Linked DNA regions of Cricetulus griseus. The protein of the gene in region 2 interacts with the protein of the main gene of each other region in a biochemical or structural test. Links are inferred from orthologs where the notes say so. Each region holds a gene or a part of one and is shown on either strand. Other genes may lie near its edges.

What was found. The genes of interacting proteins can lie anywhere in the genome.
Region 1: the proteins of Tjp1 (region 2) and Cldn2 form a complex in vitro, tested with the Homo sapiens proteins (2 studies listed by BioGRID and IntAct, with this or other methods). The link is inferred for Cricetulus griseus from reciprocal best matches to the Homo sapiens genes TJP1 and CLDN2.
Region 3: the proteins of Tjp1 (region 2) and Claudin-4 form a complex in vitro, tested with the Homo sapiens proteins (2 studies listed by BioGRID and IntAct, with this or other methods). The link is inferred for Cricetulus griseus from reciprocal best matches to the Homo sapiens genes TJP1 and CLDN4.

The regions. Positions count from the first base shown.
Region 1 is NC_048604.1:40,527,405-40,532,217, forward strand, and holds Cldn2 (claudin-2), read right to left. Parts: upstream 2,607-4,813; coding exon 1,914-2,606; downstream 1-1,913. UniProt on the Homo sapiens protein: Forms paracellular channels: polymerizes in tight junction strands with cation- and water-selective channels through the strands, conveying epithelial permeability in a process known as paracellular tight junction permeability.
Region 2 is NC_048596.1:131,896,499-131,903,174, reverse strand, and holds the start of Tjp1 (tight junction protein ZO-1), read right to left. Parts: upstream 4,108-6,676; 5' UTR 3,692-4,107; coding exon 3,665-3,691; intron 1-3,664. UniProt on the Homo sapiens protein: TJP1, TJP2, and TJP3 are closely related scaffolding proteins that link tight junction (TJ) transmembrane proteins such as claudins, junctional adhesion molecules, and occludin to the actin cytoskeleton.
Region 3 is NC_048597.1:114,019,878-114,024,852, forward strand, and holds Claudin-4 (claudin-4), read right to left. Parts: upstream 2,547-4,975; coding exon 1,914-2,546; downstream 1-1,913. UniProt on the Homo sapiens protein: Can associate with other claudins to regulate tight junction structural and functional strand dynamics.

The DNA of each region.
Region 1 (4,813 bases), on a different chromosome or scaffold from region 2:
ACACACACACACACACACACACACACACACACACACACACACGCACACGCACACGCACACACATACACACATGCACACATACACACACATGCACACACACACATGCACACACACACACACACATGCACACACACACACACACACACACACACACACACACACACGAGAACTATCAAACTATCAATCAAAATTATGACTAGTAAGCATCAAGTGAGTTATATATTGGGTGTTGGAGGAGGGAGAGGTAAGAGCAGGAAGGAGTGGTCAGAGAAGGCTCAATGAAGGCGGTGATGCCGAGCTAGTTCTCCAAGCATGGGGATGACTTAGCTAAGAGGAAATGGCTGCCAGATTGGTAAAGCAGCTTGAACATAGGTAACATGGTGGAAATAGGAAAGGCATGTTAGAGGAAACCTCACTCATGGGCCTTCCTTGCTGGTGCTGAGGTTTTGACGAGATGTGCTGGGTATCTTCTGAAGGTGGTGATATTAGGCTGGTGGGGAAAAGACGTCTCTTGTTTCTGATCCCCACCTGTCACAGACGAAATGGAGTAGTTTAAGACCTTGAAAGTGAAACTGTTTGGCTGAGAACCGTTCTCTGTTCTCCCAACTCAAGCACAATCCCAGGCAGCAGTTCAACTATCACTCAGATCATAGATGTTTCATGCTGGAGACCTTGCAGCCCTGCCAGAGAATCTTCTGATGGGCAATGACATGAGTATTAAAAATGACCAACAACTTATCTGGTGCTATGGTCTTTCAGAGGCTCTCAAGTGTTCCAAGTGTAGACCAACGGGCTGTTTTCCCATTAAGTCTGAAGTTGCTGGTGGGGCTGCCTCTGAAACAGTAGGAGCACGCATGACAACCATCATACGTGTCCACCCAGCTTCTTAGATCCGGAAGTTCTTACTCTTTCTTGGCCAGGGTTAAGTTATCTTTCTTAGTCCTCTACGGTTGGCATACTGAAGGGCAGTTCTAGAAAAACTGGTTTGTTGTTCCCAAGGAAACCTTTGTCTAGGGCTCCAAGTCGTGTGGTTTAGCCAGGAGGCTAGGTCAGACACCCCAGAGAGGGCAGAGGCTTCAGTGGTAGTTGTTAACTGCAGCTTCTTGGCAATTAATTCCTCAGTGGAGTCAAAGTGCTGCAGCCTTGTGCTTTCCTGCAACTATGCTTCCACAAGAGTATGGGAATCAGAGGAAGTGCCCTGAGTGTGATTCTGATGGTCTGGGGGGTCCCATGTTGCCTCCCATCCTATACCCAGTTGCTTTCTTCTGGATGCCATGAGATATCGTTCTTTCCGTTCATTCCAGACCAGTCTGGACATGCTGCATTAATAACAAAGGTGGGAGGGAGGCTTCGGGCCTGCTACTGATCAATCCATTTCTTTGGATGGAGGTTTGAGAAGGGAGCTAGAGCCATGCTCACAGAAGCCACCACTCCTTCTTCTGTCTGTCCCCCAGCAACTGAGTTAAGAGCCAACCTCAACCCGGGAAAAGGTCTTCTGGTCACAGATTGTCAGTGGGATGTGATTAGTGGGTTGGGGGCATGGATTTCCAGGTAAAGCAAAGGTCAGAAGAATGCCTCTGGGTTTAGCCAAAAGTAGCAGAGATGGGATTTGGAGTTTTAGTTTGAGCATTCAGGGTACAGGAGGTGCCTTGGTGAGGCAAGGTAAGGGAAGTAGAAAAGCTGGCTTGGTGAGTATCCTTGGCAATTCAACCTAGATGGTGTCTCACCAGTCCCCATCTTTGCCTTCCCTCCATCCAATGACCACAGTCAGTCTAGCCTCAGCAGCACCTTACACATGATTCAGTGGCAATGTCCCTTGCCTGTGACCCTCAGGGCATTGTCCACTACTTTTTTGTTGCTTTTTACAGTCCCAGTCACCACCCCACCCCATCCCCAGCTCTGGCCCTGGTTCTTCACACATACCCAGTCAGGCTGTAGGAGTTGAACTCACTCTTGGCTTTGAGCTGTTGACCAGGCCTTGGAGAGCTCCTAGTGGCAAGAGGCTGGGCCTGGTAGCCATCATAGTAGTTGGTACGATTTCCTCGAGGCGAGCAGGAAAAGCAGAGAATAACTCCAGCTACCAGGGAGAACAGGGATGAGATAATGCCCAAGTAAAGCGCCTCTCCAATCTCAAATTTCATGCTGTCTGGAACCAGTGGTGAGTAGAAGTCCCGAAGGATGCCATGAAGATTCCAGGCAACTGGGATAAAACCCAGGATGCCGCCAAGGATGAAGAAAACTCCACCCACTACAGCCACTCTGTCCTTAGCTCGAGATTCCTGGCAGAACACTGTGCATCTCATGCCCACCACAGAGATAATGCAGGCCAGTGAGGACATTGCACTGGATGTCACCATCATGGCCTGGGCAGCCTGGATGTCAGCAGGAAGTCCTAGAAGTGTACTGTAGATGTCACACTGGGTGATGCCTGTGCTGTGCGTAGCACACTCCATCCAGAGGCCCTTGGAAAAGCCAACCGCTGTCACAATGCTGGCACCAACATAAGAACTTGTTCGCCAGTTGGGAAGCAACATGGCAATCGATGTGCCTAAAAGCCCCAAAAGGCCTAGGATGTAGCCCACCAGTTGGACGCCAAGGGAGGCCATGGCAGACCTCTCAATAGAAGTCTCTTCGGAGCCCGTTCTCTTGTCTTTTGGCTGCTGCTCTTGTTTCTTGGATCCCAGCCTCTAATCCCTCATCTCACAGTGTCTCTGGCAAGCTGACTTCTTCCCTCCTTACAAGTATCTGTGGGTGGCCACAAGCAGGCTCAAGAAGGCATCTAGAAATCCTTAAAAAAAAAAAAAAAACCATAAACCAGATTAAATATTGACCAGAAGCTTATGAGAAACCAGAAAACGCTGGATGCCTTTTGACCTTTGTTATCTTTAAAAATAACACATGAGAAAGAAAAAAAAAACTTTGGAAGTAGAGCCAAAATGTCATCACCTCCTGCGTAGGCACATGCTTTAGGTTGGCAGTCAGACAAAGAAAGGCAGGGGCCAGACAGGTGGCTGCTTTCCGAGAAGGTAGTGATGGCAATAGCAGTTGTGGTGTGTTAACTCTACTGCCTGTCTCCAAGGCCTGCTATTTAACATATTGCCAAGCAACCACACCACAGGGCCCCTCAATTGCAGACTGAGGCCAAACTCCAGGAGACTGGATCGTGTGGAACAAGTCTTAGAATGCGGCCTTGGACTCCAGTTTGTTAGAGGCTACTTGAATTGCCAAGTACTGGCTTACCCCAGAATCATTTTGCCTATGGCAATAATGGATTTCCAGGGCGAATCAGGGTGGGAAACAAAGCTTTCTGTCCACTCTCTGAGAGGTCAGGTCTTTTAGCCTTGCTCAGATCCCTCCCTGCAAGGCAGAATAAGAGCCCCAAAAAGGTATAGCACACCGGGTATTTCCTGTCTCCTCTCCTAACAAATGATCCCATGACCAGCCTCTCAAATGACATGGGAGGACTCTAAAGAAAAACTGTTGAACTCCAGGTCCCAGGGGTCCTCAAGGTCCCTGGCTCGTCAGAGACAGTAGAAAAAGTGGAGGGGAGGGAATCTGCTCCAGTAGTAGAGGACTTTGCAAAAGGTAGGCAGACATTCAGTGATTGATGGGATTTTGCAGTGTTAGGCGATTTCGCCGTTTCCAAGGCTCCAGATTCAGAGGTCAAAGTAACACTCCTCCAGCACCTTCTGCAAGACTGTTCAGTCCACAAATTTTCAACCCAATACACCATTGCTACTCCATCTTCACCTTCCTCAATATTTTTTTTTTGTGTGTGGGAGGGCTGGAGAGATGATGGCTCAGTGGTTAAGAGCACTGGTTGCTCTTCCAGAGGACCTAGGTTCAATTCCCAGCACTTGTGTGGGGTCTCATAACTGCCAGTAACTCTAGCTCCATCTCGGATGCCCTCTTCTGGCCTCTGCCAGCACCTGGCACACAAGTGATGCACAGACATTCATACAGGCAAAACGCTCATATGCATAGAAAACAAATGTTTTAAAATTTCTCTTTCACATTGCTCAGGGATCCATTCTTTCCTGAATTAAAACTCTAGAAATTAACAAGCGCACCTACTCTATTACCTAATCTGTTCCCTATCCAAATCTAAATTTTCAGTGGAAACTCTCCTAACAATCAACACAGGCAATGGGATCTTCTAATAAAAAAATTCTGGGAGGAGGTGATTGAGACTTATCTCAGTGGGAGTATGGAAAAGTCTTATGACATCCCCGTCTGACATTTTCAAAAGAACACAGCCCCTCTCCCTCTGTACCTCCTGATCAGTTCTTGCCTGGGTCCTATGTTGTCACCAAATGGTAATCCTCTCCATCTAGATCAATATCCCAGGAGTGATCCTTGTCACCCTGCTCCTGTTTAACCCTGCATCTTATAAATATGACGTTCCACCACTACTTCCTAATTCGGGGCTTCACCTGGGTAAACAATAGTTTTATAACTGGTCTTACTTCCAGTCTTGTCTAGCCCAATTCAGTCTCCTCATGGTGGCCATGATGATCTTTCAGCACATGAATCGGAAGAGGTCATTTGAATGTGTGTCCACATGTGCCTACATGTAGGTGCGTGGACATGCGCACACAAACGTTCCCCAGGTTGGGCAGGGGTGCCACTGGAGGCATAAACCTGTGGATGTCAGATGTTGACTTCAGGTATCTTCCTAGATTTTTCTCCATCTTATCTTTCGAGGTCTTGATAATTTATTTTATCAAACACTCATGCATACATGTGTGTGCATGTGGAGGTCAGAGGCCAACTTGTGGGAGAGTTGGTTCCCTCCTGCCACCATGTGAGATCT
Region 2 (6,676 bases):
GAACAGCATCTAAAAGGCTGAACACCTACATACTTAAAAGCCTGTGTCTAAAATTCTACATCCTGGTGAAAACTACTGTACAAACTGAGGGGGGGAGGGGTATCAGTAGAACAAAGATCATAAATGGTGGCAGACTCAATAAAGTGAAAATCTTGAGCCTCAAGTGAGTTTTTACTTTACTCTTGAAGTATATGAAGCAAATACTCACTGATCAGTTAAGTACCAAACTAAAATTGTTTAATAGTTCCTCAGCAAACAATCCCTATCCATAAAGACTGGTGGAATAAGTTTTGAACATTAGCTATTTTCTGCAGTTAAAATTCAAAAATGTTCAGCTACTAAAAAAACTAACTGTGCCTCACTTGATAAAGATTCCTGAGAACCCTCACAATAAACAGAGCAATGGTTTAAAAAAGAAAAGTATAAATCATTTTTATACCCATCTACATTATTTCAGACATAGCCACTAGCAAAAACAAAACTGTTTCTCCGACACAAACATTTCATTACACAGCAAAACAATAAGCTAGCCAAGGAAGGCACAATAATTTTTACTGTTTCTCCAAAGTGATACAACTTGAAATTCCAGAAACCATTCAACTCCCTTCAGTAACTGTTGATGGGTCAGCCAATGAAAATGTTCCTAATAATTAATACTATTTTCTTACCTAGTTAAACAATTATTTGGTAAGGCAGAGAACCATCCCCAAATTTCTGTTTTCAACTTCCAAATAGCTGTTACCAAGTACACTAGTAAGCAAAATTCAATGCAAATTCAGATACGCATCATACAGATAAAAGGCTTTTTCCTTTATTTACTGAACATCATGCACAGAGAATCCCTTTTCAAACGTGTGTGTGTGTGTGTGTGTGTGTGTGTGTGTGTGTGTGTGTGTGTGTGTACACGTAGTACTCAGGCATGTGTTGTGAGCTCAAGAGCTTATGTCTCCCTACACATTTCTCCTAGTGCTTTTTCAGTTATTTTTTTCAAACACTTAAAACTTCATGAGGAGCATCGAAGGAAGGATGGCTTAGTGGATAAAGGTGGTTGTAACTCACAGATGCTAGACTGACCAAAGCCACAAAATTGTCATCCACTGGGTTGCCACAGCATGTGTGCATTCCCATCAGACACCCACAATAAATAACAACTACAACAAAGATTCTTCTGGATTTTGTTACATAAAAGAAACATTTTTTTTAAAAAAAGATACCCGCCTTAGTAGTCTTATTTATTGAATAAAGGATCCTTTCCCAATAATCTATTCTTATTTTGACATATATTCAGTTTTCCCTTTTGTTGGGCTAAGAGTGCAAACTATTTCCACTTTCACAGCATTACTGTGAGAATTAAGTGAATTACCAACACAAAACAACCACAGTACATATTAAAAGTTGATCACAAACACTAACAGCCAATAAATAAGTACTATTTATTTATTTCTGAATAATAAGTATTATTTATTTATGGCTGTGTGGCGCCATTCTCTATTCCTGAAGCAATAGCCTACTTTAAATTACTCTGAATTTATAATACATTAGATTATCTGAAAGGACTTTCTCCCTCCATTCATTTATGTGGTAAGATAAACATCAAACTATCATGTTTTCTATAATACCACACTGGAATTCTACTTGGAACTGCACTGCACTTACACATCAATTCAGGGACCATGGGTAGGTTCTGACTCTCTTCACCCAGAGTTTGATTCCCCTAGATTTGGGTAACAAACCATCATTTGTTGTATTTATTCTTAAGTATAGGCTCTGGAGGAAGATTTTAATGGGTATATCAGAATTTCAAATGAACTCTTTGACATAGCAATTTCATTTTTAAGAATTTGCCATACAGTAGTAAGTGGACAGATACAAAAATGTAAATACAATTATTTAAAGTGTACTCATTGCAGTAACAATATCCTGGAAACAAGCCAAACATCTCCTCAAAAAGGCAATGATGACCTGAGCAGCAAGATGAAAATTACTCAACCATTACAAGAATACAGAATCAAAAGCATTGGCTTATACACAAGCTCTACAACTGTTGTGCTGCAAAATTAGTGTCTGTAAAATATTTTAACAGGGGTGGGAAAAACAAAAGCACCCTATGTAAAGCACTGACAGAGTTGAGCTCTTAAGCAAAACAATAAATGTGACTTAGGGAAACAACTGGTTAGCACTGCATTTACCTGTTCACTTATGGTGGGTTCTAGCTTTATGTAGACTTCAAAGTGTGCCCCAATACAGCATCCAAGAAAATAATTCTTCAATTACCAGCTAAGCATGCAAATATTTGACTAGAGAAGCATTGCCATGTTCCATAAAAATCTCAATATCATAATTTATGTGTAAGCACACCTTCTAAATCACCTTGCCATAGCAAGCTATTGGAAACACTTCTCTAGTAATAACACTTTCCAACTGTGTTGTCTTGAATAACAAGTACCAGGGCTCACACTTCGAAACAAAGTGACATTCTGTGTAATATGGCAACAAAGCCTTTCTTCCCAGGAAGTCCCAGCAAAGGTAAATAACAAGTTTTATGTTTTATAAGTAACAAAATGTTGCACTGATTCTAGTTTTTGGTCCCAGGCTTACGTTTTAGATCGGTCATCAATGTGCCTTCAAATAAGATACAAGCATTATTACTAAGGGAGGAATACTCCATTCCTTAAAACAATCTATTCACTACTAACTGTAACCGCTAACTACTGCCAGCCAAAAGACAAGGTCCTATTAAGAATTCAGGCGCTTCCTTCTATCTGCTCCCTAAGGTTATGATTAAGTATTTCTAATAGAAAAATATATAAAATCACCACCTGTTTTAAGTTGTTTGAGTAATGGATTTTTTTTTAAAGGGAGTTTTTTCACTCATCACATTTTGTGTTCCTATCATTGTTTGAAAGACCAAGTACTAAAATGCATAAATGGGAAGAATTCTAACTCGATTTTTAAAATTTTTTGGCTTAATGTAGTACTTAATAACATAAGGCATGCTGTGTCAAGAAACACACTTCAAAACACACGGGGAAATGGACCGGAACGTTGTTTTGTGCAGAATTCATCGGGTATTTTCTGTTGTTGAGTCCATCTTATTGTCCATGTGCAGGGACACTTTGTGATACTTTTGAAAGTTGAAATTAAAGTGTTAAGAACTTTCCTCCTCTGATGCCTCACATAAATATTAAAGCTAAAAAAAAAAAAAATCTTAGCTACTCTCGAGCTGAGTGTTTTGCTGTCTCAAAGCTTTATCGCTGCCATTGCGCATACCGCAGCGGGTGACATCAGATCGAAACTACAGGGTTTCGCCGGGTACCAACCACTCCTCCGGAGACAGCCCGAGCTACCCACCGGCCTGCTGCAGGTGACACCCCTGGGTCTCAGCAGACACGCTCTCGGAGACATGAGAATCCTCACCCGGGGCGACTTTCCAGGCGCGAGACCTGTTGCACGTCGCCTCCCAGCGCGAGCCGGAGCCAGGCACCGGCAGCCGTGCACCTGCCCGGGCGGCAGGCGCGTCTCCAGCCCGCCTTCCTTCCCTGCCTCCCCGCCCCGCCACCGTCGCCCCCGGCTGCCGCCCGCGGGGAGGGCGGGGCGAGGCCCCCCGCAGGGCCCCGGGTCCTCCACCGCCCCGCCCGCAGCCCGGCGGGCCGTGAGCCCTCACCTTAGCGGCCGCGGCCCTGGCGGACATCTTGTCTCTCTCGGCGCCGCGCGAGGCTCCTCGGACCCGAAACTCCGCGCCGCCGGCCCGCCCGCCCGCTCCTCACGCCACCGTCCGCATAAACATCTCCCGGGGACGAGCGGGGCAGGGGCGGGGGCGGCCGGAAAGGCCCGGCCCACGGGGAGGGGATTCAAGTGGGACAAAAGTCCGGGAAGCGTCCGCCCCGCCCGGGCTTCTCCGCGGGGCACACCCGGCCGCCTGCTCGGCCTCCGCCGCCCTCGGCCCGCTCGCCGCTCCGCAGGACCGAGACCCCCGGCCGTCCCCTCCGCCCTCGGGCGTCTCCTCAGAAACCTGCTCCCGCACGTAACTTCCCCGGAACGCGTGGCCGCCGAGAGACGTGCCGTCGGCGGGCAGAGCCGTCGCGGGCAACTCAAGCAGCCACGCAAAACCTGCCGGACCGGGCCACTGAGCATGCCCAGCCGGCGGGGGCGGGGCCTCGGCGAGGGGCGGGGCCAGGCCGGCTCCGACCCCCGCGCGGAAGGAAAAGCTCAGCTCTCCAAGTAACTTGCTAGGCGGTTTCCGCTGCCGCGCGAGCCATCCTGTTTGCTTCTATGAAAGATCCGGCAGAATTCGCCCCGGAGAAGCCCACACCTCTATGTACCTAAGCTTTTCAACTCCCTACGGAGACTTGTCTACTCTCTTCCTAAGCCAGCCACCCCAGATCAGTCCCACGCAGGAGTGTGGCAGGAAAGGCGAGCCTGGCCAATACCTGACTGTGGTTTCCTTAACCTCGCAAGTAACAATGGTCACAACTGTCACCACGTGTCTGGGCATTGTTACCCTATTGAAGAGAGATGTGTTTTTGTTTGAAGTACATCAGAAGCGCTCTAGCAGGCTCAGAACAAGCCAACTGCCTTAAATAAACCAAGTTACAGATCTAGGCATCCAGAGATAATCCCAGCCACTTTCTTTCTCATGCCTCCCTAGACATTTTTGGGCTATCAAGATTGCTGAAATTCTTGGCCCCTGAAGAGATAGACCAGGCTGCCTGCCTTTCTGAAAACCATGCCCTCCAGCTCAAGCTGGACAAAAAAGTATGTAAGTACATGCGGAACTCACCACCAGTTCAATCGGCCACCGCGCAAACTTAGGCCAGCTAGCTACCTTGATGAACAGGAAAAATAGGTAGAAAACCACTTCGAGCTTCATTAAGTTACACTCTGTATACTGCAAAGCTCTTCACAGATATCAAGAATTTTTAGTAACATTAAATAACATCCTTAAAGTACCTATTATAATGCTACGATGGCCAGGCAAGGTAGAGTGGGGCATGAACATAGGGTTAAACAATAGTTTTTAGAATTCAGCTACGTGACAGAATCAAACTTACTTCTAAGAAATATCTGTATATGACAATTAAGATTTCAAAATCATGTGTTTTGCAACTCTAAGCTAGTTGAACTAGAAAAAAAAATTATGCAAACCAAACCCTATTTCTTGCCATGAAAGAAACCAATTAAAGTCATTTTTTTTGTTTTAGTCATATTGCATGTGATTGTTTCAAAGGCAAAGTGCCCTGTGTTCTCTTAAGAAGAGTGATTAAATTTTTCCTCTGAGAAAACAGCATCACAAAACACTTAGATGTTTTGTATTTTTAGAAAGTGGTTATTGAAGGTCTTTCACATCAGTGCGTTAACTTTTAATAAAATGCATTCTGCAAACCTGCCTAGAGGCAGATGGGGTGTGTTATGCACATACTCTTCCTCTTTTCTCTTTGGACAATCTTCTATCATGTCTCCCACTGTATGAATTAAATGTTAGATATCTGCAACTTGTCTCAAATCCAGTATACCTGATTGATCTAATTTTTGTCATGGCTTTAAAAAAATGAAATCAATAAAAACGTTTCACTTTCATAATACTTTGCTTTAAAAAGTGTATCAAAAATTTCCAGTTAACATAACATTTTAAAATTTTCCAATGGTATTTTGAATAATGGAATTACATTATCTAAATTGAACTAAATGTTACACTAGGTAAATTGAACAGATATTCTTAATATCTAAACCAAACTATATTTGTGTATCTTCTCCAAATAGCAAGGGAAGTTCCTATCATTTATAGAAATTAAGCTGCCATAGTGACACCTATTAATTTGTATGCTAATAAAAATAAAGAAATCAGAAAATAATTTTAAAGAAAAACACTGTTGTCAGGAATCTAGCTCTGCCGCCCTACAGTTTATCTGTGGGAAGGTGCTTCAATATGACCTTTCCCCAGATAAACTGGAGTGGACAGAATATAGCATAATCTCTGAGACACACCCTTAACTTGAATAAGAGTTTATCCACTGAACACCAAAAAGTTTTCAAAGTGTACCATGACATTAATGAGTACAGATGAATGTGGCTACATTTTCTCTAGGTTTAAATCAAAAGGGAAGAAATCCAAGTGAGTTAGAGAATCTCATTTAGAGTTACAAGAAAGTTCAACCAAGAATTTCCCTTTGTGTACAGATTTCTTTCTGATCTAATGCAGAGGAACAGGAAACTAAAAACCACAACACTCAGAAGCACAACTTCCTGTGGGATTTCTGGTGTCTGTGGTCAGAATGCAAGAAGCACTAAGCATTCAGAGTCTTTAGAAATCTTAGACTTACTTAATAAAACAGCCCTGACTCAATGAACTATACCTACACTTACATTTTACATATGTGGATTTTTGTTTCCACTGTAAAAACAAAACAAAAAAACAACAACAATCTCTAAAAAAAAAACTTTATTAGTGTTACTTTTGGTAAGAGCTGTGAGTTTACTTTTGAAAAGGAAAGAGGAAATGTTGGGCACCATAAGGTGATCTTGATAACGCAACAGAAGAATACGTACACACACACACACACACACACACACACACACACACACACACACACACACACACCCCAACACTATTAGCAGGTATCATCATTGGATGTTTTGACCAGACCACATCACTAAAGAGTCTGCGAATGGCTTCAGG
Region 3 (4,975 bases), on a different chromosome or scaffold from region 2:
GACCGGACCTGCAAGACCAGAAAGGGTCAGGAGTGGGGGAAAGGACATTCCAAGCTTAGGGAAGGGACAACAAACGCAGGATGGTGGCACCTGCATGGTGGCCTATGGATAAGCAAGCCACCCTGGCTGCTCAGAGAAAGGTAGACAAAAGTAGAAGAGGTTGGTGACTTAGCCTCAGACCTAGTTGCTCCTGTCTGTTGTCCCTCCTGATGTCCCAGCTCTATCCCCCCCACCTCAGTCCTGGACATACAATGGGCCCTAGATACAGGGTTTCCTGTCTAACAAATGAAGAGCTTGCCATCATGGTAGTGCACTGGAGATTGAGACAAGGGGATAGCCTTAATTTTGATGGTAAGTGTGGGCTATATACTGTGACCCTGTCTCAAAAATGAAAATGCAAACAAAAGGCTCAAACATGGTGGTCATTCAGGTTAGACAGAGTTAGTTCTGATTCTTACAATCCTCTGAAGTCACTCTTTTTTTGGTTTTTCAAGACAGGGTTTCTCTGTATTGCTTTGGAACCTGTCCTGGAACTTGCTCTGTAGACCAGGCTAGCTCTGAAATCACAGAGATCCCCCTGCCTCTGCCTCCAGTGCTGGGATTAAAGGCGTGCACCACCAATGCCGGCTGAAATCACTCTTGAGACAGGGTCAAGTAGACCAGGCTAGCCTTGAACCTACTATGTAGTGGGAGATGACCTTCAAGTTCTAATCCTCTTGCTTCTGCACTTGGTTTACTTGGGGCTAAGTATGGAACCTGGGGTTTCTGGCATTCCAGGCACGCTATTAGCTGAACTGCAACCTCAGCTCTTGAAATCACTTCAACTTCTTACAACATCAAGGTCCCCCTGGGACCACCAGCCAGCCCTCCAGCCCTGTCCCATCCACAGATACAGAGAACAGCCCAAACCTTTCCTGTACACGGGAACCATTTATTGTAGAAAATAATAATTACAGCTGTGAATAGTTCTTAAATTACAAAACAAGAAACCACAGAGAAGGCAGGGGAGTCCCGGGAGACTCCCTCTTGCAACGCCATTGCCCCCATACCTTCCGCAGACTGGCCAGCGTCCTTGAAATTTACAAGGGTAGGGAGTTCAGAGGGGCGGCTCAAGAGGCCCAGGGTCTTGGGGGGGGGGGTGCAGAGAGCGGGACATTTAGCAAGACAGTACCAGAAAGGGGTGGGGACAGCCTGGGCTGCTTCTAGGTCCCCAGCACCAGCACTCCCCAAACCAGTTTAATCCACCTCCGCCCTTCCCTCAAACCCGTCCATCCACTCCACACAACTCTATTTGGAGGGTAGGTGGGTGGGTAATGCCCAGTCATTGTCAGTCACTGGGGTTCCACGGCAGAATCCATCCGGCTCTCAAGTCCCCTCAGTCACAGTCATCTTGGTCACACCAAGGCTCCAGGTAGGGCCAGGTGTGCTCAGAAACATGGGGCACAATGGCAAGAGTAGCGCCGGAGTAACAGGTGTGGGCAGAGAGAGTGAGGATAGAAAAGGGTCAGTGCAGGTGCTAGCATGAGCAGGACACCCACTGGGGGGCCCAAAGTCACAGCTGAGCTATCCCGGCCAGCAGGACCCAGCTCCCCGCTCCACTGCGGTACCCAGCAGTTTCTGCCTTCAGCCCTGCATCCATGAGCAATTTGAACGGGGGCAGCAAGGAAATACTTTTACATTCATCCTTGCCGGAGTAAGGAGCCTTGAGACGTGTCCAAGCGAGGCAGATGGCTCCCAAGGGCTACTTTAGCCAGTAACTTAGCACAATCCGGGCTTGCTGTCCCCAGCAACTAGTGGCCCATAGCAGGGCAGGTCCCGAGGGAAGTGAGGATATCACAGGCTATTGTGAACTCAATCCGAGGTGAAAAAAAAAAAATAACAAAGGCAATGGGGACATAGCAGAGTGGCCCACCTTACACATAGTTGCTGGCGGGAGCAGAGCGGGCGGCGGAGTACTTAGCGGAGTAGGGCTTGTCGTTGCTACGAGGTGGGCAGCTGCAACAGAGCAGGCCTCCTCCCAGGAGCAGCAGCCCGGAGGCTGCCCAGCCGATGTAAAGCGAAGCTCCCATCTCCCTTTTCTGCCCGGCAACTACCAGCGGATTGTAGAAGTCGCGGATGACGTTGTGTGCGGTCCAAGATATAGGCACCATAGCCAGCAAGGCTGCCACGATGAACACCGCGCCGGCTCCGATCATGGTCTTGGCCTTGGTGGTCTCGTCTTCCATGCAGTTGGTGCACTTGCCCCCTACCACTGAGAGAAGCATCCCCACCGCTGCCACGAGGATGCAGACGACCATGAGGGCTCGGGCGGCCTGCAGGTCCTGCGGCAGGGCCAGCAGCGAGTCGTACACCTTGCACTGCATCTGGCCGGTGCTCTGCACCACGCAGTTCATCCACAGGCCCTCCCAGCTGGTCTGCGCCGTGACGATGTTGCTGCCGATGAAGGCGGTCACCCGCCACATGGGGAGCGCACAGCTCAGAATAGCGCCCAGCCAGCCCAGGACCGCCAAGGCGATTCCCAGCACTTGTAGTCCCATGGACGCCATGGCTCAGTCTCTGCAGGGTTCAAGGTTGGAGACCACAAAAAAGTATCTCTCTCTCTCTGGCAGCTATAGAAGTCCGAGGGCTGGCAAAGCTTTTTCTGGTGAGCCTCAGGGACACGAAGCAAGCCGGAGAAGCTGAGTCGGGTACACCAGCTACCAAGCGCCTTCCTGCCCGCACCTGCAACCAGGACAGGAGGCCGCAGGTGCAGCAGTTAAAGCACGGTGGAGGAGGGGCGGAGGCAGAGGGAGGGGTTTCAGTCCCCAGGCCTCCCTCCTGACCAGTTTCTCTGGATTCCTGAACCTAGGCCAACAAAGGCGTTCTGAGGCCCCAATTCTGGGCCCCTGAGTCACTTGCTGGTATCACAGGAAACTATCATCTCCCCCAGCTCCCCAGGCTCGTGCTAAGGTCAGTCGAGAGACAGACACTGAGTCACCAGCCAAAAGCACCTGGGTGCTCACCGGGTGGGGACACTAGGAGAAACAAGCAGCCAAGCCTAGCTAGGGTTCGGAGCTGAAGGCGAGGGTCCCCAAGACTCATATTGGGCTCCCGTGAGATAAGAAAATGGAGAGCCCGATCTGAGGATAATGCCTGAGAACGTCCAAGAGAAACCCTGTCGTAATTAGTGCTGCTTTTACCCTCTCAATTTTATCACTGTCATCATGGCTATTATTGTCATTAACGTGGCAGCACCTGTACTTTGCCTCAACAGCAACTTTCCTACCATTAGCCAGAGGAAGTCGGTGTGGGGAAATGAGGATCTGCGGGGGTGAGGGTTGGGGACTCAGAGCCAGATCACCTACTGTCTTCATTTCCCTCTCAAGTGATTGATTTCCCCACCCAGCCAGAGTGCCTCGGGGTTTAGAGGTGAGGCACTTTGGGCCAGGGCAAGAGACGCAGAAGGGCTGATGAGAGGGTTCAGTGGGTAAAGGTGCTTGCTGCTAAGCCCCACGGACCTGGTTTTGATCCCTGAGACCTACGTTATAGGACACACATATGTCCTCTGATGCACAAATACAATAAGTAAATGTAATTTAAAATTGAGTGTTGGTGGCACACGCCTTTGATCCCAGCACTCGGGAGGCAGAGGCAGGCGGATCTCTGTGAGTTCGAGGCCAGCCTGGTCTCCAGAGCGAGTGCCAAGACAGCCTCCAAAGCTACACAGAGAAACCCTGTCTCAAAAACCAAAAAAAAAAAAATTGTGGGTAGTGGTAGTGACAAAATCCTGTCTCCTCTTCCTGGGACTGAGCCTACTTGGCCAGAACTGGGTAAAGAAGAATTAAAAACCCTAACAGGCTACAGAAGATGATTTATCCTGTAAACTGATGTTTACTCTTGCAAGGCAAGGGAGCCATTCCCATAAAAGCCAACCTGGGCACAAAGTCCCTGGAGACTTCCAAGAGAAAGGGGACCTCCAACCAGGGGTGCAGACAGGGAGCTCAACAGAGAAGGTGTGCTCCTAGGCACAGTTCTAGGGGGCATTATATTGAGAAACACACACCCTCTCCCCTGGGATTGTGCAAGGCTGTGGGGATTGGGTCAAAGAGGACATCTCAGGGAGAGGACAGCATGGAGGTGGGGGTCAGATAGATGTTTTGCAAGACAAGGAATCTAGTTTGACCAGAGACTGGCCTTGGGGGGTGGGGGGTAGTCTCAAACGCTCCCTTACCCCCACCCTGCCTGGGTACAAAGGACAGAGTCAAACAGTCTTTCTGAGGACAAGCTGAGAAGGGAGCACGTGCACCCCAAAGGCATCTGGGAAATGCAAGAAGGGAGAAACAGTGGGCTCTAGTGTGGGCAGTCGGAACTGAGGAGGGCGTCATTGGTACAGCGCCCTCTAATCACAGCCAGATCTGGGCTCCTTTTATTTGCCCTGGCCTCCTGGTGTGCATGCCTCAATTGTGTGTGTAACAGCTCTGGCTGTTCTGGAACTCACTCTGTAGACCAGGCTGGCCTTGAACTCAGAGATCTGCCGGCCTCTGCTTCCTTAGTGCTGGGATTAAAGGCGTGCACCACCACCACCGGCTTGTGTTTCTCTTCTTACCTTGCGGGGTAAACGCCACAAAGACCATAGCTGCCATAAATCCCTCCCTGATCACTATCCAGAACTCCACCCTAACCCTGCTACCCTGGGCTGCCTGTGAGTCCAATTCCAACCCAAACGGACACAGAATCTTTTTGTTGTTGTTGTTATTTTGTTTTTTTGAGACAGGGTTTCTCTGTGGCTTTGGAGGCTGCCTTGGAACTAGCTCAGTAGACCAGGCTGGCCTCGAACTCACAGATCTGCCTGCCTCTGCATTCCTAGTGCTGAACTAAAGGCATGCACCACCACTGCCTGGCTTCAGAATCTTTTTAAATATTTCCTTTTAGTCCCCGTACTTGAGGCTGGGGTGTCAGGATGGAGCCCCGGCTGTCCCCAAATTCTCCATGCTTC